Astyanax mexicanus: one gene and its partners. The protein of the gene in region 3 interacts with the protein of the main gene of each other region in a biochemical or structural test. Links are inferred from orthologs where the notes say so. Each region holds a gene or a part of one and is shown on either strand. Other genes may lie near its edges. The genes, in order: rad54b, fbxo18, rad51 and rad52.

Region 1 (7,195 bases), about 70 Mb from region 3:
TGTCAAATATTTTATTTCAAATAAGTTTTAAGCATTCCTATTGGTCCATTCATCATGAAAATTGAGCTGGGTATTTTTAATTGCATTTCGCTTCTATGGATATTTTGAGTTGTAGTGCAGTTTACAAAAAATAGTGGGTGGGAAAGTTTTCATTCATTTTTTCCAATTATAGTTTATAATTTAGTTTATAGTTTATAGTTTATTATAGTTCCAATTATCTCTGCACCTCATTAATGGATTTTCAGGAAAATTAAAAAAATATATATTTTCTTTATTTTCTGCTTTTTTTCCATTTCTGTATTTTGTAACAAGATAAATAGATAAATCTGAAAATATTATTATAGGGAATATTCACCTTTTCATTTTTTCTTTCTGTTTGCCAAAGGCTGAAATGAAAAACTATATAATTGAAAAATTGAATGAAAACCAAGTTCTTCTTCACTCTACTAAATGAAAAAAATAATAATTACGTTTTATACTCAATTTTCTATTTTTTAATTTAGATTGATACTTTAGAAAATTAAACTGCGAAACATTATACTGGCCGTGTACCTTACAAATGATCTTAAGAATTCTTTTGAGCCGACATGGCGAGTGCAGTTAAAAGAGTGCCTTTTAAAAAGCCAAATTAAAATGGATGGTTGATGTCTGTAAGAGCATTTGATAAAACAGTATTAAACAATTTAATAAGTTTACAGTAGAGTATTATAGAGTCTTCAAAGGGCTATGTATATATATATATATATATATATATATATATATATATATATATATATATATATATATATATATACGTATATATATACGTATATATATATATATATATATATATATATATATATATATATATATATATATATATATATATATATATATATATATGACTGTGACCTCAAACACACATAGTTTACATATACTGAATTTCTATTATATTATTTCCCTTGAAGGATCTTCTGCTTTGGCCCTTCCTCGTGAGTGGGATCTTAAGGTATACATGCTGTACATTTAATCCTGCACGTGTCCACTCAGGTGACCATTAATTACCACCAGGTCATCCTCACGAGAGGTCAACCTGCAGCCCAAAGGTCATCTATAGTGTTATACTCCACCTGCAGCTGTTGCAGCTGTTCACTGACTGGCATTCATTAAAGTTAAAGAAAAGTTAAAGACAGTGTGTGGACACTCTGGACAGGTTTTTTAAGGGAAACAGAGAAGGACATGTTTATTAAGGACAGTTGTGTGTGTGTCTGTCTGTGCCGTTACTCTCACTGCAATCTCCTGAATGATCTCTGCTCCTCGTGGCTGTGGTGGGATTACAAAGGATTACAGCCTCCCGGACTGTGATTGGATTATAATCTCAATGGCAACACTGCCACAGCAGCAGACATCAACAGCTGATTTATGCATGCATTTCTAAACATGCACCGGTCAACTGTGTCCTCTCAGACAGACACGCCAGATGTTAAATTATCAGACATATAGTGTAGTAGACTCCACTGTTTTACATGCATCAACTTCACATTTTGATTTTGCACATATTTACAGATCTCATGCATTTTTAATGTGCATGCAACTGCTTTATTCACAGTGCACATAACAGACACTCATTATACCACAAAACATAAATGCATTGTTCAGTAGGGTATTGCACTGTTGCATTACTACACTATTACACCAATATATTTTTATGTATCTGCTTAAATGCACACAATACACATACTTATACTCATATATATATATTCTTATTTATTTATGTATTTATTTATTTTTATCTATCTATTTATTTATTTATTTACTTCTATCACCACTACTTATTGCAGGACTATGCAAAAGATGCATCACCTACCTGCACACGGGTTTAATATTCCTCACATTCCAGGTCTTTTCTTGTCATATTTAGACCCCAGTACACTGGTATCCTCTCAGATGCTGCATGCAGAACACTTTAATGCTGTTTCTGCTCTTCACAAACACTGTGTTCGCTCCGCCCCTTTCAGGACCGGTTCAGCGCTCGACCAAGGGTTGCCAAGTTCCCGGTATTCACAGTTTTCTGGGGATATTTTTAAAATGTCATAATCAGTTTTAATTTAAAGTTTCACAATCAGTTCCTTCACCATTAGGACAGGATCAGTCTGCCGTGAATCTTGTTTTTTCTTGTGGACCAAATTGCCAGCTTTGCTGTCCCATGCCATTTTAATCCCATAATATTTAAAACCCTACTTTTTCCTTTTTAGAAATTAAAGTATTTAGGACCAAAAAAAACAAGTTCCTTAAAATATCCTAAACCCAAAGAGAGAGAGAGAGAGAGAGAGACAGAGAGAGAGAGAGAGAGAGAGAGAGAGAGAGAGATTTATTAATAAGAGGAAGTAACAATCACACAAAAAACTGTAATTATCATAAACTACAGCAAGAAAAACTCACAAATCATTACAGCACTTTTGCTGGAACTATAGATACATATTGTATGTGGTGATTCATTAACACTGACCATAGCCAAGGTGTCGGCAATTATTATAAAAAAAAAATCCTTGTAAAATAATTATATAACATTTTAATTCTTATTATTAATAATAAACTAAAATCAATACTAACAATAATGACATTATAAACCAAATATTTAAAAAAATGTATAAATTAGAGTTTAAATTTAAAAACAAAATAAGATTAACAGACCCAAATATCAAAAGGACATTGTATCATCGTTGATTTTTCCATCACTGTGGTTTTCATCTGTTTGTGACCTCAAGCTTAAACAAACTTGGGTTCTGCAGCAGGACAGTGATCCAAAACACACCAGCAAGTCCACCTATGAATGGCTGAAGCAAAACAAAGTTTTGACTTGAATCCTATTAAGATGCTGTGACATGACTTAAAAAAGGCAGTTCATGTTAGAAAATCCTGTAATGTGGTGAAATTAAAACAATTCTGTAAAGAAAAGTGGACCAAAATTCCTCCACAGCACTGTGAAAGACTCACTGCAAGGTACCACAAATGCTTGATTGCAGTTAATGCTGTTAAGTGTGGAATAACCAGTTATTAGATGTAGGGGGCAAACACTTTTTCACAAAGGGTCAGGTAGGATTGGATTGTTTTACTCCTTTAATAATAAAAACTTCATTTAAAACTGTATTTTGTGTTCACTTGTTCTGTCTTTGACTAATATTTAAATTAGTTTGATGATTTGAAACATTATAGAGTGAAAAACATGAATAGAAATCATGACGCTTCAAATACTTTTTCTCACCACTGTATATAACAGTGAACAGTATTTTAGCCAGTCATGCAATGACCAATATTCTTCAGTAACTGTGACACATTCACTTCGCGTGGACTGCAGTAAAGAAAGAATGTGTCTTTAAAATAGTATGATTGTTGTGTTATGCTATTCTATTATTGCTATGTCCGTGACATTTAATGGTCTAATATTGTTTATCACAAAAATGTCTGGGAAGACACACTTCGGTAAAAAAAAAAAAGAGACTACTAAAAAAATGCTTAGTTTCTTTGCTTTTACCAAATTAAAAAACATCTGCAATTGAATCAAGCGAAATATTGAAACAATTTTCACCAGGAATGGCATAAAGTTATCCAAAAGCAGTGTGTAAGACTGGTGGAGGAGAACATGCCAAGATGCATGAAAACCATAATTAAAAAACAGGGTTATTCCAACAAATATTGATTTCTGAACTCTAAAACTTTATGAATATAAACTTGTTTTCTTTGCATTATTTGAGGTTTGAAAGCTCTGCATTTTTTTTTTCAGCCATTTCTCATTTTCTGCAAATAAATGATCTAAATTACAATATTTTGGAATTTGGAAGAAATGTTGTCCGTAGTTTATAGAATAAAGCAACAATGTTCATTTTACTTAAACATATACCTATAAATAGCGAAATCAGAGAAACTGAAGTGATCTCTTAATTTTTTCCAGAGCTGTATATCGTCCACAAATTATTTTTATTGTGACAGGCTGACGTTTATTCAATGTTCTTTGCTACTAGGCGAGGTTTTAAGTGTAGTACACTTTTTTAAATGAGTTCTAGTAGTTTTTTTCTATTTACATTTTCTTTCCTTTCAACGTCTGTGACAACATTAGATAGATGTTGGGTTAGTTTTTAGGAGTTTTGCTGGACCTGGCAACATAAGCTCGACCAATCAGCGATGAGCTATGTCTTCCCGGCGCGAAACTCTGTGTAGGTTTCCCAGCAGCGGTAGGAGCTAAAGTAAGCGGAGAAGTTGTAGTTGAGCATTTGTAGTATTTATACGGGAGGATTTCACGATAAAAGGCAAGTGAGCGATATTTTAATCTAAAAACGATTAAACTTCAGCTGTTCACAGCGGCTGTCTGTTTTACTGCTTCTTACAGATATATTTCACAGCTGTAGTTATCTTAGCTAGCATTAGCTCCTCAATCTGACAACAACAACAACAAAATGCAGCTAATTTCAGTTTAGCTAGCAACCTAGCTGCCCCTGTAAGTTACCACCTCCCAGTTTATACACTCACTCATCATACAGGACACTTGACACTCTCGCTAGTTAGTTCTTAACTTCGCTAATTCTAGTGCTGGACGGTATGACCAAAAATGTAAATCACGGTATTCTTCAAGATTCTGACAGTTTCACCGTCTATCACGGTATTTTTATTATAATTTATTTATAGTTTTTTGCATGACTGGGCTTTATTATAGGTTTGTGACTTAAGTTACTCTACTGTCAGGAGTACATATAGCTAGCTAATATCAAATATTAAGGCTTTAACTCTTTTAGACTCTTTTAGCATCCATTGCAGTGGACATCTTTTTTTATTATGTTTTGTTGCACATCACACTATTTTAGAGCTGTTGTCCATCAGATAGGACTGGGCGATATGCACAGAGCAGCTAACCTGTAATTTAGGTGTTGGATCTGTCTCAGCACTGCAGTGTTATAGTGTGATGTGATGAAATTGTGGGATGTGTGATCTATTATAGTGTGATGATGTGTGATATTGTATGTTATCGTGTGATGTGTTGATATGTGTTATGTGATATTTGTTGTTGTGTGTTATAGTGTGATGTCATTGTGTGATGTGTTATTGTGTGATCTATTATAGTGTGGTGTGATGTGATGTGTTATAGTGTGTTATGTTATCGTGTGATATGTTTTGTTATGTGATATTGTGTGATGTGATATTGTGTGTTATAGTGTGATCTATTATAGTGTGATCTATTATAGTGTGATGTGATGTGTTATAGTGTGTTGTGTTATTGTGTAATGTGTTACTGTGTGATGTGTTGTGCTGGTACAAGTAGATTAGACACAGCACTAGCGTTTCAACTAGTGATTATTTTGGTAGTCGATTAATCTGACAAATATTCTTTTTCCAATTTGTCAAAAAAAATCTGCTTAAACAGCTGTTCTGATATTTAGTAAGACATTATGTAATCTGTTGTGTCTGCCACTTTTGTTGACCAAGCTAAATGTGATTTGTGTTTCTGTCCCCAGCACTTTGTGTAGTGCAGTGTCAAATTAACGATTAGTCGTCATTTTTTGAATAATCAGTATTGTCCATTATGTCCATTAACTAATTGTGTTGCAGCCCTGCACAGCAGTGATATCAGCATGACCACCACAACCAACTTGACCAATCTATAACAAATTGGATTAGTGCAGTAAGAGATGTACAGTATTTACATTTGTTCATCACAGGGAGCTTTTTACGTCTATGCCAGTTATTCATTTGTTTGCTCCTCAGCTAAAATTCAACTCAACTGTACAGTTTAAAATATTTTTATGATGAATGCAATTTAAATGTGATTCATTTTGATTAATATTCACAGGGCAAGTAATTAATTATTTTTTTTTTTACTCGCCTGACAGCACTATTATTAATAATAGACCTCTTAATTCTGACTTCTTAATATCACTGATTCATTAAAACTTGGCACAAACTTAACAGTTTTGATGTGTTTTATCTCAGCATTATGCGCCGCTCTGCAGCCCCCAGTCAGCTTCAGGGCAATGCTGTGAAGAGGCCGAGGTTTATACCTCCTGCCCCCTCACAGACTGGAGTACTGGGCAATGGAATTAACAAGGTAAGCTAACTAAGGATTTTAGGAAAAGTTGATAGGCTATCTCAGTGTATGAATGCTGATATGGGTTCAGTAATGTCTTTTACATGACAAAAAAATCCAGGTGGTCAGGTAAAGAGCTGATAGTAAATTAGTTCGTTTTTTTACTCTGTTACATGGATTGCATTTCAAAGGTGCATAGCATCTGATTTGACAGGATACTTCAGTGTATACTTCAGTGTACTTCAGGTTTATGTTGTTTTAACCCAGTTTACTTCACTAGGCATGTACCAGGTCTCCAAAGTAACACAATCCACTGTCCCATGGACAGCTCTTTTGGAAAGGCAAATTTGAGCTGTTTATTAGATGATTGCTGGCTGGTTGAAATATGAAATTTTCCTAATACTTAGCACAGAATCTGTTTACAGATACATTCCCACATTTCAACATAGAGCCAGTCAGGTTGCTGGTAACACCAGGAGATGATGCCTAGAAGATGAAGTCTAACCAAAGATGTTATGGCAGTAGAATAATATGCAGATTAATACAACGACAATACACAATGAATACAACAATAAAGTGTAATGTCAAAAAATATATTTTGGGAATGATTATGATTATTAGTTTGTGGGAGAGCATGATAGAACGCTTCAGGCAAATCTGGGAAAGTTGTGAAAAAAGTTTGTCTGGAGGCCTGATGTGCACTTGCATGAAATCTGAGACTGAATTTATATTCTAAACTAAGCAGCATAGAAAATTATTTTAAACAATATATTTTAGAATTAAGCATATATAAATGTTTGTTATTAATAATGAGTATTTAATTTTTCAAAAATAGCCACATACCATAATACCCCATCCATGTTTTTTACTTCTTGCAACAGCATCACCAGTCTCAGAGAGTGGAGAGCCATGTTCCTGCACCTGAGGTCAGTAATTATTTTTTTTAAAATAACTTATTCTCTGTCATCGGAGCAAATGTTTGATTGGCTTTTGTCATTTAAAAATGTCATACTTACACCTCGAGAGTGTAACTAATTTCACTTCCAAGTTGTAGTTTAGGTCTTTAATGCTACACTTTACAATCTGTATACCATTTTGTTTCCTTTTTTTCCCAGTAAATAAAAAGTATTGTGCAAACAG
Region 2 (7,865 bases), on a different chromosome or scaffold from region 3:
TCCTCTTCTTCTTCTTCTTCTTCAATTTTTTCTTTCTTTATAGGTCTCACACCCATTTCAAACTCCTCATCATCCCCAAACATGTCTTCAGTAATGCCCTCCAAGTAGTCTATTGTAATGTCTTCTTCCTCCTCTTTTGGTGAGACATGTCCATTCTGCTGATTCTCTGTCTTGACTGTAGGCGAACCTTTAACTTTCTGAGGGCTGCTACTGAGGATTCCAGTTGAAGCGAAGAATTTGGTGATTTCTCTTTGCTGCTTGTCGCCTTCTGTTGCTGCAAAACATAACCAACATATTAACCCATATTAAAATAAGCTACAGGGGAAGCTTATGAATTAACTTTTTGAAACAATAATTTAAAAAAATCAGATAAGGCATGAAAAATGTGCCGAATAATTGTATTTTCATGTATACTGGGAGATTTCTATGGATTTTTATTCTACATGTTAAATAGGGTTTGATTCTGCCCTTGATACGTTTTATTTGGCCAGGTGTGAATACAGAAAACATACTTTGATACAGACCAAAACATAACACACAATGCATCTCAACACCCTTGAAAGTACCATAAGTGGTCTCAGTTGTAGTTTAACCTGGTATACTACCCAGATAATTAAGACCATTGTGAACAATGTCACCCCTGCTGCTGCTCCATATAAAACTGCACAGAAATATGCTCTAGTTCAGAACACAGGACCTTTTTACTGTATCTGGTTTCTTGCCTGGCACGTTGTGATGCATTATAGTGCACTTGCATTTTTCACTGTGTAAAACAAACCAAACCCAGTGGAAGAGTTAAGCTACCCTAACAACGCAAACAGCACATGTTAATTGTAAAAGTCTGACTAATTTCTTAGTCAGCTAACCCTAGTGTAATGGTTTACTGGTTTAAGGTAGATTTAGTTTAGACTTAGCTCAATAGAATTTCAATATTTTCACATGAGACAACCAACTTCTCCTTTTCAAAGTTCTGTCAAGGCAACATCAGCCAAAAGCTTTTGAAGAACAGTAACTGTCTATTCTGTTACATCAGCACTGTACTTGATTACTTTCAGGGCTATGAGAAATTACTGGCAATATGACAGCACAAGGAACCAAATGTAAGATTTTTTTCTTGGTAAAAATTACAATAACCACCATTTTGTTCATAACAAGCATAAAAAAAGTTGTTCTTCTCAGTAGCTAGCTATTTTCAGCTCCTCATCAAAGAGGAATTAAGTAATGACAATAATAATTAACTGCTGCACAATCTGCCCCCTTTCTGAAGACTTTTGATATCACAATAGTTATGATACGATAGTTAATCAGCAGTTAGGTTACTGAACTTTTGCATACCACTGCTATAACCTATATCTGTATAAGGTTCTTGAAGGGTTTTCACGATTCTTAGGGGGATGATTTCACCCTTCCCCTTGTAACTCTGTTACACTCTAAAACAAGGGTTAAGGGTACAAAAGAGAAATGGGATGGGGCCAAAGATACTGGTTGAATTTCTTGAACTAAGTACTTAGCCAACTGTGTGTCACATATACATACATACACATACCTCTTCTTCTTCTTCTTTTAGTGGGAGTCCTTGGTTGCATCCCACGATTCGGGTCACCGTTGTTAAGGTTGACAGTGAAAGGCTGGGTGATCGACTGGCTGCCAGTTTTGCTTTGGCTCAAACTGTGGCACTCAGAAGCACTGAGGTGCCTGCGTTTGGCCTTTCCTAAATCATCAGAGAAACAGAATTAATAATATTAAGAAGAATGAATAGACAGATCTGTACTGAAGCTTCATTTTCATATAAATGAAGATATGTATCTTATATATTTTACTGTTGTGCATTTCCTGACACCTCTGTTCTGTCCTCTGCAATACTAAAACATTGCAAATTTCCCCCATTGTGTGATTAACAAAGGCTTATCTTATCTCTTACTCATCTTAATTTATCACACTTTTCACTCAATTCATCAAGGCATTCTATCAATTTAATAAATCTTTTCTTAAATTCATTCTCTTAAATCAAGACATTTTCCTTTAATAAAAAAATCTATTTGGTCAATTTAATACATAGTTTCCTCTCAAATGAATAAACATACAACCGTTTTCCACTAGGGCTGCAACTAATGATTATTTTGGTGGTCGACTAATTTGATTATTATTTTTTTGATTAGTCGATTAGTCACCGATTATTTCTGCCATTTCCTCCATCTCTAAAACCAATAGAAACAGCTGAAGATGACTTTTAAAGGCATTTAAATGTCTAGATGTTGTTTAAATGTGCAAAATACTGATATTCAGTGAGTAAGTTAAATATGTTATGTTGGATATGATCCATTTACACATTTCACATTGAATTTTTGTCATCAACACTTTGTGTTATGCGGGACTGTTATAAATGAACGATTAGTCGACAATGAAATTTGTAGTCGACAAATTTAATTAATCGACCCTGTCGATTATATCGACTAATAGTTGCAGCCCTATTTACCACACACACAAACATACATATAAGCAAGCACAAACAGCATACATACACACACAAACAAGCAAGCAGGCTAGGTTAGCTAGTTTTACCTCTCTTACTTTAAAACATTTAACTCGATAATTTATTTAATATACGAAACATTAAATCAGTCTAATGTAGGCAGAACTGCAGCATGTTTAGCTGCTGTAGAGGTTTTATTAGAGAGTGAACGCTAGCTGGGTTAGCGTTGGCTATACAGAAATACAGCCTGTAGCTACAGGTATCTGTGTATCTGTGAGCGAGTGAAGCACCTCTGGAGGCCGACTCCATGGCTGAATAAACTCCGCACACAGTCCGCACACTGCACGCTCAATACCGGTTTAAAGGGCCTGTGAGCATCGCCGCGTTATCCCATCGATGCGTCCGCTGTTTCTGTTTAGAAAAGTATTCTCTTAAAGTAAAATAAACGAAGTTAAAGGGCGCTTTAAACTCCCTCACTGCGGAGCTTCTCGCACCGTGAGACTATCGCTTTGTAAACTTCCGGTCCATTTCCACAATAAATTCACAGTAAAAGTCCTGTTTCTAAAAACAGAAGAACACATTTTTATTTAAAAGTAATTACGAATAACTCCAGTGTTGTAAAACGACAATATATATGTAGCAAACATATTTAAACAATAACACAAGATTTTTTATATATATATATATATATATATATATATATATATTTTGCACAAGTAAAAGCACTAGATGGCAGTAATGTCTTCTCAGGGTACTAAGTACAGGCTAAGATTTTGCAAAGACTGGGGATCTTATCCATGACCTAGTAATAAAGTTGTGCATTTAAATAAAATAATAGCGTACTTGAACTATATGCGGAATAATTAAAGTATACTTTTTCTACTTTTTCAAACATTTAGTATTTTAGAAAACTTTTTTTAAAGTATACTTTATTTGGCTGTGCAAATTTTTTACTGGTGATGTAATAAAAAAATATATGCTTAGTATTATTTAACGAAACTGTGCTTTTTATGATTAAAAATATGCTTTAACTGAATATGTCCTAGGAGCCTATATTATAACCAACCCTTGCACATAGACCACTGAGGTGGGTCAATCTGTAGTCCTCGTATGGCTTTTTCCTTGTAAGGAAAATGAATGGGCTTTTTTAAAAAAAGCTCTATCACATTCTGTGGTAAATAAATATGTTCAGAACCCTGTACGTTTTATTCTGTGTACATTTTACTCCTAAACTTCACTTTTGAGATCGTTTAATTAAGAGTTGTGATTAGAAAAATGTTAGCTTTAAGCTAATGCTACAGTGCAGCTGCAGAGATCGGCAGGGGAGTCTTTTCGGCGCAACACCAGCGTATGTTTCTACCATATTAAACCCAGCTGATCCAACTACTGAACTAACTGCCCTCACTGAGGAGAGCTGAGACCAGTTTTAAACACTGTAACACGTTTTACGCGGTGAAATAAATTAGAGATGTTTGTGTTTCTGGCTCGTTGTTTTAGTACATTAAGCTACGTTAACATTTGTTCTTATAATAGGTTTCAGTGGGAAAAAAATACACATATCTTTTTATATGAAGTATTTTAGACTCTATGGTTCTTAAGTTAGCTGGGTTAGCTCTGTGGTTCTGGAGTAACTTTGTCCTGCTAGTTTTTTACTTAGCTTGCCTCAGCGAGGGCAGATAGTTAGTTGATTAGTTAGTTGTTAGGTGATTATTTGGGTCAGGTGTGTTTTAATTAGTATAAACTAATGACCGTAATTTAATGCTAAAATGAACTGAACTGAGAACCACTTTCTCTTATTATCTGCCTTTTAAAGCTCTAACACAGACTACACTGCTCAACATCACCATACTAAAATACTTTTTTTACCTCTCTGAATGCTTTAATGATCCTCTACCCACTTTGGGTACTTAGTTTCATAGGGGATTGATATTTCTTCTGTGTCAGTGGTCCACATTTTGCTCTATCCCTTTGTGTGAGTTGAGACTGAAAAAAAAACAAGACTGGACTGTCTGGGGAGGCTAGGGATTGGTTTCAGAGCCCCCTGTACCATGGCACTGCTCCAAAGAACCCTTTTTTACAAAACAGGTTTAGGATGACAAGTACTGGAGTAGCTTTTCATTTATACACTCTCACTTAAACTCATGGTAATTAGGTCTGTATGAGCAAAACATCAACAAAGTTCACTTAACTGTAGAAGGTGAAATTCCACCAATTGTTCTAAATTGGCATAATCCAATGGCTATGACGTAAACAAAGTCATTGAGAGTGGTTTGTTGTGAAATGGTTCACCGTAGAGAAAAAAGAAAACAGTCCTAAGAGCCACTTAACTCCAAACCATATAGCTGAAATGTGTTCCTTTTACGTAATGAACGATAGCAGTCCTGCTTAGTCTCTGCAGCCCCTCTCAGGTTCAACTGTGCTATGGACTCCTGCCCAGTTTATAAACCCATACATCACACAGAGCCCCTCTCAAACAACCCCTACCAATTTTTTTTGCCTTTTTCAAATTTGAGCTGAGGGTGGAGTCAGCAGAAATCAGGGGGTTTAGTGCCACTTTAATGTCTACACTTTAAATGCAGCCCTCGTATTTACTATCCAAAACCACTAGTGAATCTACACTTTACATTTTATATTTAATGATGATCCGGATAAAACAGTGGGCAATCAGAAAAGCATGCTTTCTTTTTGTATTATTAAATTATATTTCAAGCCAAAAAGTCATTAATCATTCTTTCGGGATTCTTGACAGGATTTCGGCTCTTGCTCATGAATATTCATACATGCAAACATAACGTTTTAAAATAAAGACATTTTTACACTAACAGTCTTTGCAATGTTATATGTTATATATGTTATGTTACAACAAGTGCAGTTCAGCCACTGACCTAGTCTTAGAGTCTCTGTAAAATGCAAAATCCACTGGAGATTCTGTGTAAACCTAGTTACTTACACACAGAGGTGGGTAGTCCAGGTCCAGAAAGTAAAATGTTTTACATTAAACTAGTGTAAACAGAATTGTTCTAATATACACACCTACCTATCTCAGTTGTACTTCGCTGGTGGTGTTCCATAGACACACAGCTCTGCCTGTGGGCGGTTGCGAGCCAAGGTGGGCGTGGCCATGAATACCAATTCACAGGTTGACGTAGACACGTTGCTTTTCCTGATCAACTAATTTTTCTGAGCATTTTCTTTTACTTGCTACTGCAGAAAATGGAGGTTTAGGAAGAGTTTCATGTGCAGCATCCATATACAACTCAGAGAGACATATTGTATTTTACAAAGAACAAGAAAAATTGGATTTTAGCGGAAGGACAAGTTTAGTTCATAGGCAAAAGTTTTATTGTGATATTGAGTGAATCTCGGATTTAATTCCTAACAAACAATTAGGTTTTGAAAATCGATAATATTCTGTTTTTATAAATGATGTGGGAAAATCTAGTCCCTTGTAATGTAACACTACTAAACTACATCTAGTAGTTTCTAAGTCAGTGTTGTTTGTTAAAAGTTGTGGCTATGCGTGCTTGTGCCAAATTATTTTTGGACAAATTTTCCATTTTTAGATTCTGGTGAACACCTCCAGTCCTCAGAGCAAATAAGAAAAGGTGTTGTGTCCTCCAGCAGCTCTCCCAGCAGAACTTCAGCTCTGTCTTTAGTTTTCATCTTCAGCAGCAGATGCTGCAGGCTAAAGCCCGGTGCTTATTTAATCTCACAGGTACTGTAGCTCCTTTATCCCGCCTGCCTGAACCCTCCCCTGCCTCCCACTTGGCAGCTTTTCTTCTTTGCCGAGAGCACAACTGAGTTATTGTATTACTCTTATCCTTGTTAATACTCACAACACCTACATCAACGTAACTTTTTTCCGCTTTGCTCTTTTTCCTCCTTTTCTTTGTTTTGTTCTTTTTTGGTTCTTGACTATATTTTCTTTTTATTTGTTCTTGCCTAATTTTATTGATTTTGATTGATTATTGACAGATATTGACAGTTTTTTTGGGCTGTTTATGACATGCATGCTCTGATACCGCTTAGTAAAACAGCTTTGGCTGTTAAAATGCCTTTCATATACTTACTTACTCAATATAGCTGTAGTGCTTTATCGTGTGCAATATTCTATTTACAATGTGTCCTGTGATCTCTTTATCACCATTTGTGCAATATGTTTAACGGGCAATATTTTTCTTACCTTCCCATCTATGATTTATTTGCTATTTATTCACTGTTAGTCCTTGTGCAATAATACTGGTCACAACCTACCATAATCATATCTGCTCTGACCTTATCTTAGCTGCACTAGATGTATATATTTTTCTTTATTATATTTTTTGTAATCTTTTGAATGTATAGATTTATTGTTATTTGTTTATATATTTTCCTGATATTTTTCTCTCCTTTTCTCTGTGCTGCTGTAACATTGCAAATTTCCCCATTGTGGGATTAATAAAGGATTATTTTATGTTATCTTATCTTATCTTAAATGCCTTATTAGTTTGATATGTTGTGACGTGTATGTTGTTATGCATGCGTCTAAAGTCATACGTCTGAAGTCATTTTTTGCGTTCTGCATTGAATAGTCAAATCAAATAGTCAACTCAAATGAGAAATCTACACATATTACATTTGAAGGATATTACACACAAAAAACTCTGTGAGCAACAGCGGGACCTTTGGTCCACTTGGCTCTCCCAGCCCACAGTTTATGCAGTTAATAAGGGGAATTCACTTAGTGTGGGGAATCACATCATTAGAGACTTCTCATACAAGGCATATGGGTTCCTGTCATTTTTTCCAGTGGCTGGACTGGAAGGTGGCTTTGCTAAGCTCTGTCCGTGTGAAGCTGCACGTAGCAGAAAGCTCTACTCAGCACAAGTCTAATGTGTGTGTGTGTGAGGCAAAGAGAAAGAAAGAGAGAGGGGTGTGTTTGGTTGAGTCAGCTTGGAGTGAGGAGCCTCCTCGTGACTGGGGTGTTCATGACATCATGCAAAGAGACGAGAGAAAGAGAGAGAGAGACAGCGTCTCCTAATGTAGCTCATTCCCCCCTGAGGACTAATCTAAACCACTCACTCACTCACTCACTCTGTCTCTGAGAGCTTTAAATAGAGGGAATCTGATCCAGCCCTTTATTAGTGGCAGTTTTATCTCCTTATGTCAACAAATGTATACCTCAGTGATCCAAAGATCTTCATGCCTTTTGTTAAATCATTGACTTCACTGACTTAAAGCTGAAATTCTTAGTTTCTTTGATTTTACCAAATTGAAAACCTCTGGAATATAATCAAGAGGTAGATGGATGATCACAAGCCATCAAACCAAACTGAACTGCTTGAATTTTTGCACCAGGAGTAAAGGCATAAAGTTATTCAAAAGCAGTGTGTAAGACTGGTGGAGGAGAACA
Region 3 (7,422 bases):
TCTCAGCAACAGCCAGAAGTCTCTCTGGACGGAACGTGCCCTCGGTGTCGATGTACATGGCTTTGCCTTCCCCTCCTCCCTGATCGATAGGCAGCTGACATGTGACTGCTAACGTGTGACAAAGCTGAGTCTTTCCTGTACGAAATTCCCCAAACATCTCTGTGATGGAACCTGTCTCAATACCACCTATAGACAGGGAAAACAAGAGAAAGCAAGAAAGTGGCTCTATTAACAAAATACATGTTGGCTACATACAAATGCAACAGACATCACAGTGGTGAGTGGCTGGAGCATTTTTGTGCAAAAGCGTAGTAACATGAAGTAATGAAAAAGGTTTCATTTTATATGTATGCATTTCATCTTAAATTGTGCTCTGCTGTTTTTACTTACTTTTTCTGCCCATTTAATTTGTGATTTATGTAAAGAACCTTGAATTGTGTACTAAAAAAACATTTCAATGTTGTTTTATAAGCTACATTACAACTGAGGTCAAACAATTCCTCACCCTGCAGAAGCTTGTCCAGCTCTTTGGAACCAGTGGAAATCTGAATGATCTCAGCTCTCCGCTGGTGAAATTCTGTTGCTGTTGTGAAGCCCATTGGAACCAGTTTAGCAGCCTCTGCCTGCAGGAAACAATAAAAACATAAATTTAAGGATTTAAATATCAAGGAGATTTTATTGTCATTTCACATCACATGTGGTACATGAGGTGGAACAAATTTGTATTCCCACGGTCCAGTTTACACTCAAAGAGCAATTGTTTAAAATAGAAGAATAAAAAGACAAAGTAAAAAGTATAATCGTAAAATAATAAAATAGAGAAGAAAAATACACAATATATAAAGACGTAGAGAAGTAGCAGCAACACGAGTTCCAAGTTGCTATAGCAAAATGGATGATTATTAAGAAGTGCTGAGCTCACCAAAATCTTGTCAGCTTTGGCCTCACTGATGCCCTTAATGTTGATCAGTTCTTTTTTGGGGGCATATGCTACAGCCTCGATGGTGTGAAATCCCGCATCTTCCAGCTTTTTCAGGTCACTGGCACTGATACCACATTGCTGCAGAACACAGAAACAAGCACTTCATGAACAGAAAGGACTATCGACAGCTTTGTGACACCTATATGTTACAAACAGATCCAACAAGCAAAATTTCACACTCTCTCCATGGGAAGGTAGTATTGCACTAGTAAGAGACTGTTGCACATCTGTTGACAGACTTTATGTAGTGATTCTCTAGTCATTCGTCAGTGATCAGTTCTGACCACAGAGCAGGTTTCAGCTCTTGCCCAAAACTAAAACACACCCATTTCAACCAATTAATGAATTTTGAGATCAATGATTAGTTTGAGCAAAAGTCTGCATAAAAGTAGCTCTCCAAAAGGACAGGCCAGATTGAAGACCACATATTTATTTAGCAGGTGTTTCTGATAAATCGACCAAAGAATAAAGACTCAATTAAAATGTAACAGCTTATGAGAAATCACTGCACTTCACTCTTGCATCTGGCTCTTTAAAAGAAAAGAGGCATTGCTCATGGCTGAATCGCTAGTTGTGTTAAATCATACCTCCAGGCGGTTCAGCGGCTGTGGTCCAAAACTATCCTCTTCTTCAACTTCTGCCTCCACCTCCACTCTGCTTTCACTTCTCATAGCCATCTTCAATTACCTGGACCATATTTACAGACATACAAGCACAAATCAAAGCTAAAACACTAATACTGGGGGTACCATCAACAAATATTTTTTTTTATTTAATTAAAGAATTTAATTTAAAAATGTTACAACTAGTCTGCTCTGTTACACACTACACAAGCTCAATATTATTTATTTTAATAATATCGTAATAAATATTGTATTTTGGTAAAAAGTCGTGATATCCTAAAAAACAAAAGCTGGAAGGTTAGTCACATTCATTTGATTAATTGGATTCTTGTTACATTGCATTTATTTTCAAAATGGGACATGTTTACGTACAGAACCTGCCAGAGGGAATCTCACTAGATAGATTTGTTTTTCGGTCAAAAAGAAACTGTAAAAAAACTCTAACTCTAATGTAACAGTATTTTTAAAGGGAGCTGCTTCATAATCTTATAAGAATGAATGGTTATAATTATGACTTAGATTGAGAGAGAGAGAGAGAAATATATAATTGGTCACAATATCTCCCAGCTCTAGTTACACAATATGTTTACCATATCTGGCACAGCTAACCTAGCTAGCGTTAGCTAACCCATAGAAATGGAATTTATCCACTTGAACATTTGACAACTTTTCTGCCCTGTTTGCCCGCTGTGAGAACATTAAGATAAATTTAAAACTAGCAGAAACTAAGAATAAATCGGTGTTAAAACCAAACACGAGAAAAACAAAGAGAAAACAGTAAAGAGAAAATCACTAATCGTGAACAATCGTACCTAGTTCACCTAACTTAGCTAATCTATAGCTATAGCTAGCGTTAGCTTAGCTACAACAACAGGGCGGTAGTAGCTTTCGCTAGATTTAATTTACAAAGCCAGGAGAGCTTAGTTAAGTTAGCCAAAACCAAAATGACCCGAGACGAGTGTGGTCGAGTGTGTTGCTCTGCTCTGGTGTGCTGCAGTGTTTCTGACCGCAGAGCGTCCAGATAACCCCGCGCTCCTGTTATTGAGTTAACTCAGCTGTATCTGGATCAGTTCAGCTAGCCTGCACTGAATCAGAGCGGCAGCGGCAGCAGCAACAGTAACAGTAACAGTAACAGCTAACGCGCCTCTCCTCTTCTAACACGTTAATGCAGCTGAATCCGCTGAGACCCGCCCCGGACCGGCGCTGTCAGAGGTCGCCTACTGTTGCTGTTTCTGGGGCTGTATTGATATATCATTAATAACTGAATAAATAAACTGAATTACAGATAAATAAACAGAAGTAGAGGAGCTCTCTCACCGACTGGCCTCACAACCGAGTTTCCCGCGCCTGCGTCACCGGTCACGTGACACCGAGCGACGTCACAGCGGGCGTGTTTTTTATCTTTTTGCCAAAAAAATATTATTTCTATAAAAAAAATGCACCCACGTCAGTGTAACCTTTAGCAGTTTAATTGCCTAACTATAGCTGAATTTATAATGAAGAATAAATTGGGTTTCACCCAATTTTCCAATTATCAAGTTTTTAATTTCAGCATTTTGCAAACAGAATTTCAAGAAAAATTAAAAGTTGAAGGTCAATGTAACGTTTATTAATTAAATTTTCTGACCATTTGAGGCTAAATGCAAAAATTGGATGTAAAAATTCATTATTTTTTTATGTTGTTTAATTTTTAATGTAGTGCATTGTACAAGAAAAGGTTTTAATATTTTTTTCCAATTTTAGTTTTTTCATCTCTGCCCTTCACAATCGTAATTTTAGGAAAAAAATTAAATATGAATATTTTATTTTCAGATTTTTTAATTTTGCAAGTTGGATTATACCATCAGATTTGTGTTAAAAGATACAAAAATGGACAAATCTGGAAATCAAGAGATTCAACTTTTAATTGTTCTTGAAATTCCGTTTGCAAAAGGCTGAAATGAAAAAAAAATTGAATGAAAACACATTCTTCTTTATTTCGAATTTAGTTTGATACAGTCATACTTTCATTTTTCAGATTTGTCAATTTTTGTAACTTGTAAACACAAATCTGATGTTATACTCCAACTTAAAATGCAAAAATTGAAAAACCAGAAAATAAAGAAAATATTTTTTTTTTCATTAACGAGCCTTGGGATCTCTTTCCCACGCCTTTATTTTTTTTTTTTTTTTACATAATGTCACCTTAGGGGCTCCGTACGCTTGTGAGGGGCAGAGATGGAAAAAAGTAGATTGGAAAATGGATGAAAACGTATTTCTTGTACACTGCACTACATAAAAAAATAGTTTTTACATTCAGTTTTCTATCTTTGCATTTGTTCTCTAACAGTCAGAAAATGTCATTAATAAACGTTTCACTGAGCACCCACACCTGGCAAAAATGCTTTAATCGCTGCGTCCTATGATAAATATCTCGAGTCGTTCCAGTCATGATCGCTAGGTCTGAAGAGGAGTATAACCGTCTGTTTCCAGGAGGTGGCGCCAGCAGCACCCTGTCCTCTGGCTGTGCCAAAGCAGCTGGTATTTACCACAGACTCGCTCTGGAGGCTCTAAATTTAGTTATAGCAGAGATTTTGCATTGAAAGGAAAATGTAATATGTGTCTAGGCTTAATCTCTGTCTGGGAAACTGACCCATAGTGTAGAGTGGACTGTGTTGGTGGAGTTGTGGTGCAGTAATCTGACTTTATGCCAGTGCCAGTATAAAGCATTTTATTTAATATTTAAACTCAAAATAAAAAAAAATAATAGTTAATTACTAGCACTTAAAGTTACAGCAAGACTAGAGACAATTCATATTCACATAACAGACATTACAACATTAACAGAACAGAAACATTACATCACAAAGTATATTATTTATACATTAATAATCATTTTCTGCTGCATATTTACATCACTGTACTCAATAAGAATTAAACATGCAAAACCTTTTTAATGTAAATCACACATAATTTATATCATGTAGATTTTGTGTAAAAGCAATGCATCTGAGCTTTATGTACAAAACCCCTTACACAGCCAGTCACACATTTCTTTAGATTTAAATATTCACCCATTTTGGTAAAGGTAAGGGGTCTATAAGGAACTCTGACAATAATGACTCAATAATGTTTTGGGTGTGCAAATGATTTTTCTAAACTATGTAAACTGTACAGGGTTCATTACATAACATCTGTGCTTTTACACTGCATGTCCTCTACACTACTTGACTTGACTGAACTCTACCCATTCCGACTCTATTCGACATCATTAAAATGTTTCTGATTTTTGTTGTACTCTGAGACCCCCTTTTAAACTCCATTGTATATAGTCATAAAAATAAAATTTCTTACTGATCAAAGATAAACATGTCAAATATTCATGTTACGCATATTATATACATAATAAAAACAAAGAACTAGAGATAGTACCTAATACAGAAAAAACAACAGATTTAAAACATTTTTTCTAAAAGTTTTTCTGCTTCTCGTAGGGGTTTTCCATCTGCGTGGCCTCTGTGGTGTTGCTGGTTTCGGCTGAGATGGTTGAATCCCCAATGAACTTGCTGGTTTTGTAATAATAAATGAACAGGAAGAATCCTGAGGAGAGACATGAAAAGTTCCTAAATAAGCAAATAATCAAGTAATCACTTAATTGTATTTTTTTTATATGTGTGCCTTGGACAAATATTTTTGAAACTGAGAGGAAGTAAACTTCTCAAACTAAAAATGTATCTAAATCTCAGTCTGTTTCTCAGTCTTTATTAACATAATATAAATCATCAGCGTTACCTGTACAAACACATAGGTGTGATTTGAATCAGTATCCTGTTTGATTTATTTGATGTATGCATCCAGGATTTACTGGTATTTTGTTTAATTCAATCTACTTTCCATATGTGCAGTGTCAGTGCTATGATGGCAACATCTAAATATAATGGGCCCTATTTTCACCTATCTATAGGTGAAGCGTCAAACACGCACCATGCAGCTTGATTTAGTGTAGATTTGGTGTAGATATATTCACAATCACTGTTGCTATATAAATGATGCAGGCAGAAGGCGTGAAAATAGACTGTCGATGGGGTTAATTATGTGTAAGATAGCAATGAGCATCATAACGCACCTTGTGTAGGGTCCAAACAGGCCCAAATAGTTGTGTCAGGAGCATAGACTCATGTCTCATTTTTTACCTGACTTTGTGTAATCTAGTATTGTATAATGGTCAGAGACTCTAAACTGGTCCCCTTAATATCCAACGAAAGCCGAGCACAAAAAGTAAACACAGGAACTAGTTTTCTTTTTGTGCTCAAATGAATTCAAACTGCCACCACATGAAGATGAAGTTTACTTCTTATGTTCTAATGTTTTGGGGCATTTGTTTCAGTTCAGGAGCAGGTTGGAGTTGTAAAGCGTACCTAGTTTTTTTTTTATGTGACAGACATTTTCTATTTCCCCCCAAAAAATCAGAAAACTGTGAGAATCAGGCTCAGTCTTTTATAATCTGTAAAAACAGTTGTTCAAAATGTTGTGTAGTGTGCACAAGTCTCAATAATATCTGGCATTGCAGATACTTTTAGAACATGGCTGTTTCAAAAGCAGTGTTAGTATTGTAAAACTGATTGATACGCTCTTTGCTTTCATGACTTACCTTGGAAGGAATTGAGAATTGTGAAGATGTAGTACGATGGGAGGCGCAGGGCACCATAGGCGAAGAAGGCGAAGCCCCAAGTGACTCCAAGAGTGAAGCACAGGCCCATTATGGTCAGGATGTCCGAGGTGCCTGTCCCTGTGCGCTTACCCGAGCCAGAGGCTGCCTTTTTGTGGCCTGCTGTGGTTCTTTTGAGGAGGACGATCCACCGCAACATGACCACAAAGGTCGTGAAGGTGAAGGCGAAGATTACAGAGTAGTAGCCGATGTTCACAACGTAATGGACAGAAGAGTCTATGATCCAACACCTTTAGAGCAGAAGGCAAAGTTAAGATCAAAAGAGTCATATGGAAACTTCTGACTTACTACTGGCACCCACCCACTATCAGGGCCTAGCTCGAAATCGAATCATGTATTTATTGCCTTGCTATAAGCATGCAGGCAACCTTAATCACAAAATAGCACCTTAATGATCAATTTACAAATTACTGCCATCCCAAGTCTTTTTGTGCCAATAAATATATTCTGACTAACAACTGAGCCGAATTTACTTTTGTCTGTAAATTAACCAGGAAACTCAAAAGGACTCCAAGGAAACACTTTTTTTTTTTTACAAATTAAACTTAAATTTAGGGCCAATATGTTAGCTAACTAAAATAGAAAAATGTAAATTACTTTCCTTTATCATGTTACAGTAGGAACCCCTAAATTTAAAATCTCTCTGACAAAAATAAAAAGCGTTTTAGAAAATTTCTGTCTGTGAACAACAAAGGTTCCAAACCCGAACCGTTAAGGCCTGTGCACATTTTCCCCCAAAATATCTATGGATTGTCTAAATTAGGAGCCCATTAGCTAAAGAGGTGAAAATGTGCAGCAGTGCTAGCTTAGCATGTGGTGGTTTCCATATCTCACCTTCTTTTATAAATGTAACTATGTTAATCCGGAAATTTAATGTACTTTTCTTGACAAAACAAATATAGAGAAAATATGAGGAAAAAAGTAATGGATGTGGCATCCACCACTATGTAAACCAGAGAAAAGTCTTTACTATGTCATTAGTAATAGACAGAGGCCTGCATTTGGTGAGATATTTGGGTGGTGAAGTATTTTGAACCCCAAAAAGAGGCCACAATGCAACAATGATAATGTGTTAAAATATCTACAGATTAATGAGCTACTAGGAAATT
Region 4 (7,141 bases), on a different chromosome or scaffold from region 3:
GAATCTTGTTGATGGCTACAAGGTACTCCTTGTTGAGGATGCAGTTTCCAAGAGCATTTCCAAAGCATCTTCATAGAGAGGTTCACAGAAGTCAGTTCAAACATGTTCCACACCCCATTACACTTCATATAATAAATGTTTACAGATTTTATATTTTTTTGTGTTAAAGAAATGGTTAAATTACTTCAGTGCTCTTTTCAGTCCATCTGTGACAGCCTCTTTTCTTGCCTTCTCCAGCGACAGAGCTTTAGACTTCAAGCCCTCACTCACACCATATCCCACATCTTCATGGTATGATCCATCCTGTAAGAAAGACATGCTCATTACTGTGTGTAAAGACTACCCATGAAATGCAGACAAATTATTTTATTTGACAAAAGGTATTACCTTTAGTTGCACTTTCACAAATGCACTGACCCCAACATAAAATTTACCATTAATCAGGTCCACAAAGTCTGTAATGAGTGAAAAAACTCAGTAAGTATAATCACATGCCAATGTTCAAAAATCTAATAAATCGGTGTTATATTTTTCATATAATAATAATAATAATAATAATACATGCACACATTATTAAGATTGTCCTTACCAACATTTTGTTGAGTAATTGAATGAGACCAGCCATTGTACCCAAACATTTCATTAGCTAAACCGATCACTTTGTGACCCTCAATGTAACACACCTGCAAACAGACAGATCAGACAGACAGAACACTCAGATACTTGTACAACAAATAGCAAACATTATAATAATGTAGATTACTAAACAGGACACCTTGCCTTTTGCCCCCCACCAGCCTGTCTAGTACTAATGTACTCTGGTCCAAGTTTCTGTCCAAGAGCCTTCTGAATTGCCTGGTACTCCTCAGCAGTGTATTTGAACTGGAAAAAAAACATATATAAATCACCATCATTATAACTATTTTTACTAATATCTACTACTGTTTCATATCCACAGATTGGATGAGCCTGGATTAAAATAGAAATATCTGGATCTGGTTAAAAAAATAATGGACTACTTTAATGTATGAGCACAACAGAGATGGGGACTTTGATATGATGTGTTTTTTTTTTGTTTGTTCTGTGTGTGTGTACGGGTGACAATAGTAATTGTCATTTATTGCAACAAAACACCTTTCTGTATAGATTCTTTACATTCACTTTAGTTTAGTTTAACGGAACTTACTATATAACACTGCTTAGAACCCCATAAAAAAGCAACATTTTATAAGTACAAAAGAAAAACTTTATATTATGACAAAAATTGGTTTAAGAAATTACATGCATTTGCTGAAGGAACATGGATAGTAAACTTTGTGTAATGCTAAATGTAAAATGCATGGTCTGCAGCAGACAGTTAGATTGAAGACAGTGAACATTGGCATGTGTTAGAGAGAATCAGATGTGGATGTACTACTTTCTGTATGTTATCATTATATACACTATATTTCCATAAGTACCCATTTGCCTGCCTTGCATTTGGTGATGTAAGGTTTGGATGGAATCCTATTATGTGAACTATTCTTGAGTAAACCTGAAGGCCACTTGATGTATTGGAGGCCTGTAGAAATTGACTTTGCAAAAAAGATGATAACCTTATTATGTACACTATGCTCCTCAGCATCCTCTAACCCCACTCTGTCTTTTTACGTTGAAAGAGCAAGTTGCATTCAGTCACTTCTACTTCCAAACCAAGAAAACTGTATGACTCAAATTCTATCACTGTATCACGCTGGAATTAACTGAGCCCCTGAGAGCAATCTATTCGTTCAGTAATGTTAGTAGAATTGGTCTGTCTGCCTAGGTGTTTGGTTTTATACACATTTGGCCATGGGAGTGTTTGTAACGCCTGCATTCAACGATTTGAATGGTTGGGCAAATACTTTTGTCAATATATGGTACATAAGCACACCTAGACCTCATCCAGACTGTCCTTTATGATTAAATCATGTAGCTCAGAGTTTCCTAGCTCCAGCCCTGTAATCCACCTGCACTGTGCAGTTTCATGTTTCCCTGTTCCAGAGTCTCATCACTAGATAATGATCAAGTCAGTCCTTCATGAGCTGAATCAGGTGTGCTGCAGAACTTCAAAACTAAAGTTTCAGGCCTCGGGCTAACACACTATACATGTTTGTGTTTACCACCATCATCCCTGATTTAGCTCATTTATTATGGGATACTAACTCATAGGTATAATTATGATACACTAAGTCATTACTATGAGATACTAAGTCATAATTATGAGATGCTATCTCTTAATACTAATTATGAGATACTAAGTAATTATTACGAGAAACTGAGTCAGACCCCCACATCTAATATCTCATAATTATGAACTAGTACCTCAAAATGAAGACTTGGTTTAGGGCACTACTGCTTCTTTACTGCACTTGCAATAGTAGTGTAGTATCTAGTGTAGAATAATCTGGCATGTATGTGAATGTGTAGGACTGAGGATCCCTAAATTAACCTGGCTGAAGTTTACCTGTCCAAAGCACATGCTGGATGTCCGCTGCTGGTTTCTGTCTTCTGGTCTCTCCCTGCTCTGCTCCATATTGTAAGTTAGCTGCTGGATCTTTCACTCAGTCTAGCTTTGCTAAACACACATTGATAACGTAGCTAACACGCAGGTACAAAAAGAGGTTTACAGCTCTTTCTCAAATAAAATATACGCAGGGTCACATGGTGCACAGTAACATCAGTATCAGTTAGGTCACTGATAAGTTAGTTAGCTTAGCTGCGCAGCTAACAGATACATTTTAGCGTCTACCCGTAGAGCTCCATTCACTGAGCTGCACAGGTCCTCCGCCGCCCTGCAGCTCCGAGAGTCCGGCTAACTTTAACTCCTAACCTCAACTCTTAACTTTAACTGGCAGCGTGCCCGCAGTTATTCTGACTGTATGGGTGGATAAAAGTGTTTTTAGCGTTTAAAAATCGATTTAAGAGACTGGAAATCGTAACTTCCCGCGTCAAGGAAAGAAATAAACGTACGAATCACGTGACCGACTACCCGTGCGTCGTACGTCATATGCAAATATCAAAAACGTGCGGTATTATATTATATTATATTATATTATATTATATTATATTATATTATATTATATTATATTATATTATATTATATTATATTATATTATTATAGGGATATTCATTATGTAGCTGATTGGTTGGACGAATCTGCACAATTATCCTTACAGAGATATTTAGTGGTCTTTTCCTGTAAAGCAGTGGTCCTCAAACTTGTTAGACCAAGTTAAGTTTTAAGTTAAGGTTTCTGGTTAATAGAGTATTTCTACTAAGACAATTTAGACAGATGGAAACAAGAGTGCCAAGCTGTAAACTGCTTTGTTTACTACTTTATTTAGCTATTAATTGTATTTTTATCAGTTCATCTTGTGTATCACCTCGGAATGCTTTGAGTTTGAAAACCTGCTAAAAATATAAATAATAAAATGTTAAATGTAGTTAACTCTATCCCTAAAGGTTTAATTAATGCTGAGGAATCTCGTGCATTTTTACACCGTCTACAAGTTCAAACCTTTGCTTTATATTAATGGTCGAGACTTCAGAAATAAAAACTGTTCTAATAAACTTATAATAATTAATAAAGGTAAATTTGTTAGGTAATGAATGAGATGTGTTGTCAGTGTAAATGTTTTGTTTAATTTGTTAAAGCTGTATGGTTGTTTGTTTTAATTTAACTCGAATGTCCTTTCTTGTATTATATTATATTATATTCATTAGCTAAAATGCAGTAATAATTGTATTAATATTAGAAAAGCATTTCTGTCCGTAAGACATTTTTACTGATATTTTATGCTATGATAAATTCCTGCATTTGAAATAAAATGAAACACTGGCTTTAAATGTCGCCTTCATAGACACTAGCAAGGATTACCCAAATCCTTATAGGCATCATTAATAACGTCTCTGGGATTACTGGGACTGGGAGTCCAGTCTGCCAAGCATCCTGACAGATGGGATGGAAACAGGACTGGACATGAATGGACCCCCTACTGAGAATTTCACATTTAGGTCAAAATTGTTGTGACCTGATTTCAATAGTATTATGACAAAGGAACAGGAACAAGTCTCATATGCTAAATTAATTTCATGCAGCCCACGTTTTTGTTTCTATTACCTGCTCAGTTTATTTTAAGCCTAGGCCTTTTCTTATTTTTCAGACCTATTATTTAGTAAAAAAAATGTTACATACACTTTAAAAGATCCCACTAAGAACCAATGGGGTTTTCCTGTACATAACAAACCCATTTAATCTGGCAAAATATATGTAAAATCCAGATCCATTCAGAAACGTTCCTTTATTTTGAGAGTGTAAGATTTAAAGAGTTTTAAAGGTGCAATATTTGCTGCATGCTTACAGAAAAGCATTGACAATAGGAAATGGGAAATGTAGTGCATCAATGCTTAATTCTAAAGTCACCATGCCCAATACTAGATCTGACTAGAGGGGTACAAAGCCTTCCAGCATTGTGCTGTGAAGCAGAACTCTCTGGCTCTGTGGATCTCAACCCAACATCACCTAGCTAAAGACCAACTGGTTCCCAGAATAAAAACACCCTACGCTGGTAGGCTTTCTAGCTTTTGATCAGCATAGGGTAAAGGGTTTATTTTTTTGTGTGTGACCAGCTGGTCTTGACCTGGACAATGCCCACCTGCTCTGCTCACAGCTATTATGTTCCAACATTTACTATAAAGCCTTCTTTGAAGATTATAAAGTGTTACTGCATCAAAGAACAGAAGTCCACATCATTGTGCTTAATTTCAAAACAAACCATAGATGATTGGTCTACAAACATTCGGACACCTCACAGTGTAGATGTGATTTGCAATGCATGTTTATTACATAGTTGGGGTGTATCGGTACTTGTATTCTTTACAAAACACCATGATCTGGAGGTCATAGTTTGGTTTCCGCAAACACATGCAGAATACACAACACAGGCAGTCTATACGAGACTTATGGAACCAATGAACCTAATGTGGAACTATTGTTCACAGGATGTTGCACCCGGAAAGTGTAGCTGTAGCACTGTTGCTATAAGTAACTTGCTACTGGCTGTGACTGAAATAGCTCCCTATTTAACTATTTAGGGCATTATTGATTACGACAGCTGTTTTTCTCTGAGTGAACGAATCGTAAGGTGGAAATTAAGCGGGATAATCACCCTGATTTATAGTAAACATCGCTGCTTACTACGCGAGCTGAATGTGTCCCAGAATGCATTGCGGGAATCACTACTAAGCAACAGACATATGTACAAAAGGAGCAGACAGAGCCCTCAGGGTTGCCAAATTGTCACAGAGGGATTCAGGTAAACTGAATTTACGGGTAAAACGTGTTTCAAATCTGCCAAAAAAGCAAAGAAAACGGCCCAAACCGCTAATGTTCAGTATAACAATATTACTGGGTTTATTCCAACAGGATCTTAAATAAAATACCATAAATATCTTAAATAAATTAGAATTAGAAAAAAAAAAAAAAAAATATATATATATATATATATATATATATATATATATATATATATATATATATATATTTAAATGATTTTATCTGCATGTGTGTTTTATAAATGAGTTTAGTGTATCATAAGACACAAGAACCATGTAAAGTAATTACAGTTCATAAAAATAAATTTACAAGCAACAAAAGAAGTAAATACTTATACCAAGCTTAATAACTAACACAAACACTGCTTATTTAACTTTCCACTAGCAGGACTAGCTCTCTGAAAGGTTATCTACAACACTGATGAGTTTAATTTCTTAACGTAGATTTGTCCACCCGTCAAAGCACAGCGATTTAGCATGAAACCATCCAAACTGGCAACATTGGGAGCCGCTGCACGCTGTTAATTTCAGGTTTTTCTCCATGTTGTAAACAGCGTAAATTTAACCGTCAGAGATTACTCCATGAACTTTAATTCAGAGCTCAGTTCGTGTGTTTATGGAGTAAACATGGCTCAACCACTCAGGTGTGTGTTTATGCGACCGGTGCTGGTGCATGATAAAGGGAATGTCCGAATTCACTGCTGTTTTCACCACTACTGAGTGAACTACTAGGCCCAATCCCATTTCCCCCCTTGGCCCTACACTATACCCCTAGCCCTCTGTTTTAGGCGTGTCCTGTTTCTTGTTAGACTGGAGGGCTTCTTAGCTTCTTAGCCCTTCATATAGAGATTTTTCAGAAGCACTTCAAACGAAGGGAAATGAGAATCACTGGTAACATGGCAACACAAAGTAATGCTTAGAACATTTTTTTGGTTTAATGTGAAGTTTCAATGTTTTATGGTCGAATTCTTTATAACAAGCATAAAAAATATCGCTAGTAGTTTGTCTCAGTAGCTAGCTAGCTAGCTAGCTCACTTTCCTGTTCCACCCTCCCTGAAATCAACTTTTGCAACTTGGGATGTCTGCGTAATGGAAAAATAAAATAAAAGCCAATTTAAGCTTATTTCAGCTCCCCATCACAGAGAAATTAAGGAATGGACAATAATAATTAATTTCTACACCACCTCCCCCCTTTATGAAGACATACAATGCCCTAAGGTAAACCTGTTAACCTGCAGCTAGGTTACTGAACTTTAGAGGTCCTGGTGACATATTGGGTGCTTTTGAAGGGTGTCCCAATTATTAGGGGGAAGATTTCACACTCAAAAAGAAGGGGTAGGGATAAGTGGTAGGGCCAAGGGGTGAAATGGGATTGGGCCATATTGTCTCCATAGAGCAATACACTAATGAGGGAGTAGGGAGCCATTTTGGTCACAGCCCATGGTTATCATGAAGTTTCTTTGTTATTATGAAGTTAATAAAGGGTAGGCTATAGAGAATGCCCAGCTTCTTTATATTTTCCACCAACCGTACCGAACCGTGGGGTTTATACCGAGGTGTGAACCGAACAGTGAATGTTCTGTACTGTTACACCCCATTACATAGTGTTGCATCGTCTGAAGGTCCAGGTAGCAGCAGCAGCAGCGGCGGCAGCGCCACCAGTCTGTCTGGTGTCTGTCTGCTCGGGCAGTCTGCGAGTCTGCCAGCAAAAAAAAGCAGGAGTGGCTTATACTACGACTAAAGCAGAGGAATGATGGGCGGCCAAACCAAGCAGCAGCAGCAGCTC

The links.
Region 1: the proteins of rad51 (region 3) and rad54b form a complex in vitro, tested with the Homo sapiens proteins (2 studies listed by BioGRID). The link is inferred for Astyanax mexicanus from reciprocal best matches to the Homo sapiens genes RAD51 and RAD54B.
Region 2: the proteins of rad51 (region 3) and fbxo18 form a complex in vitro, tested with the Homo sapiens proteins (2 studies listed by BioGRID, with this or other methods). The link is inferred for Astyanax mexicanus from reciprocal best matches to the Homo sapiens genes RAD51 and FBH1.
Region 4: the proteins of rad51 (region 3) and rad52 form a complex in vitro, tested with the Homo sapiens proteins (6 studies listed by BioGRID). The link is inferred for Astyanax mexicanus from reciprocal best matches to the Homo sapiens genes RAD51 and RAD52.

Annotation. Positions count from the first base shown.
Region 1 is NC_064408.1:109,702,950-109,710,144, forward strand, and holds the start of rad54b (DNA repair and recombination protein RAD54B), read left to right. Parts: upstream 1-4,176; 5' UTR 4,177-4,286; intron 4,287-4,329; exon of another isoform or gene 4,330-5,653; intron 5,654-5,961; 5' UTR 5,962-5,965; coding exon 5,966-6,076; intron 6,077-6,936; coding exon 6,937-6,981; intron 6,982-7,195. UniProt on the Homo sapiens protein: Involved in DNA repair and mitotic recombination. May play an active role in recombination processes in concert with other members of the RAD52 epistasis group.
Region 2 is NC_064409.1:7,139,455-7,147,319, reverse strand, and holds the start of fbxo18 (F-box DNA helicase 1), read right to left. Parts: upstream 3,019-7,865; 5' UTR 2,783-3,018; coding exon 2,764-2,782; intron 1,712-2,763; coding exon 1,547-1,711; intron 275-1,546; coding exon 1-274. UniProt on the Homo sapiens protein: 3'-5' DNA helicase and substrate-recognition component of the SCF(FBH1) E3 ubiquitin ligase complex that plays a key role in response to stalled/damaged replication forks.
Region 3 is NC_064408.1:39,934,710-39,942,131, forward strand, and holds the start of rad51 (DNA repair protein RAD51 homolog 1), read right to left. Parts: upstream 3,008-7,422; 5' UTR 2,923-3,007; intron 2,917-2,922; exon of another isoform or gene 2,889-2,916; intron 2,721-2,888; exon of another isoform or gene 2,418-2,720; intron 1,670-2,417; 5' UTR 1,660-1,669; coding exon 1,570-1,659; intron 1,061-1,569; coding exon 923-1,060; intron 624-922; coding exon 506-623; intron 187-505; coding exon 1-186. Other genes in the region: adgrg11 (adhesion G-protein coupled receptor G2), read right to left, coding at 5,054-5,184, 6,236-6,543.
Region 4 is NC_064417.1:35,623,432-35,630,572, forward strand, and holds the start of rad52 (DNA repair protein RAD52 homolog), read right to left. Parts: upstream 3,009-7,141; 5' UTR 2,555-3,008; coding exon 2,486-2,554; intron 883-2,485; coding exon 781-882; intron 684-780; coding exon 590-683; intron 456-589; coding exon 388-455; intron 304-387; coding exon 185-303; intron 69-184; coding exon 1-68. UniProt on the Homo sapiens protein: Involved in double-stranded break repair. Plays a central role in genetic recombination and DNA repair by promoting the annealing of complementary single-stranded DNA and by stimulation of the RAD51 recombinase.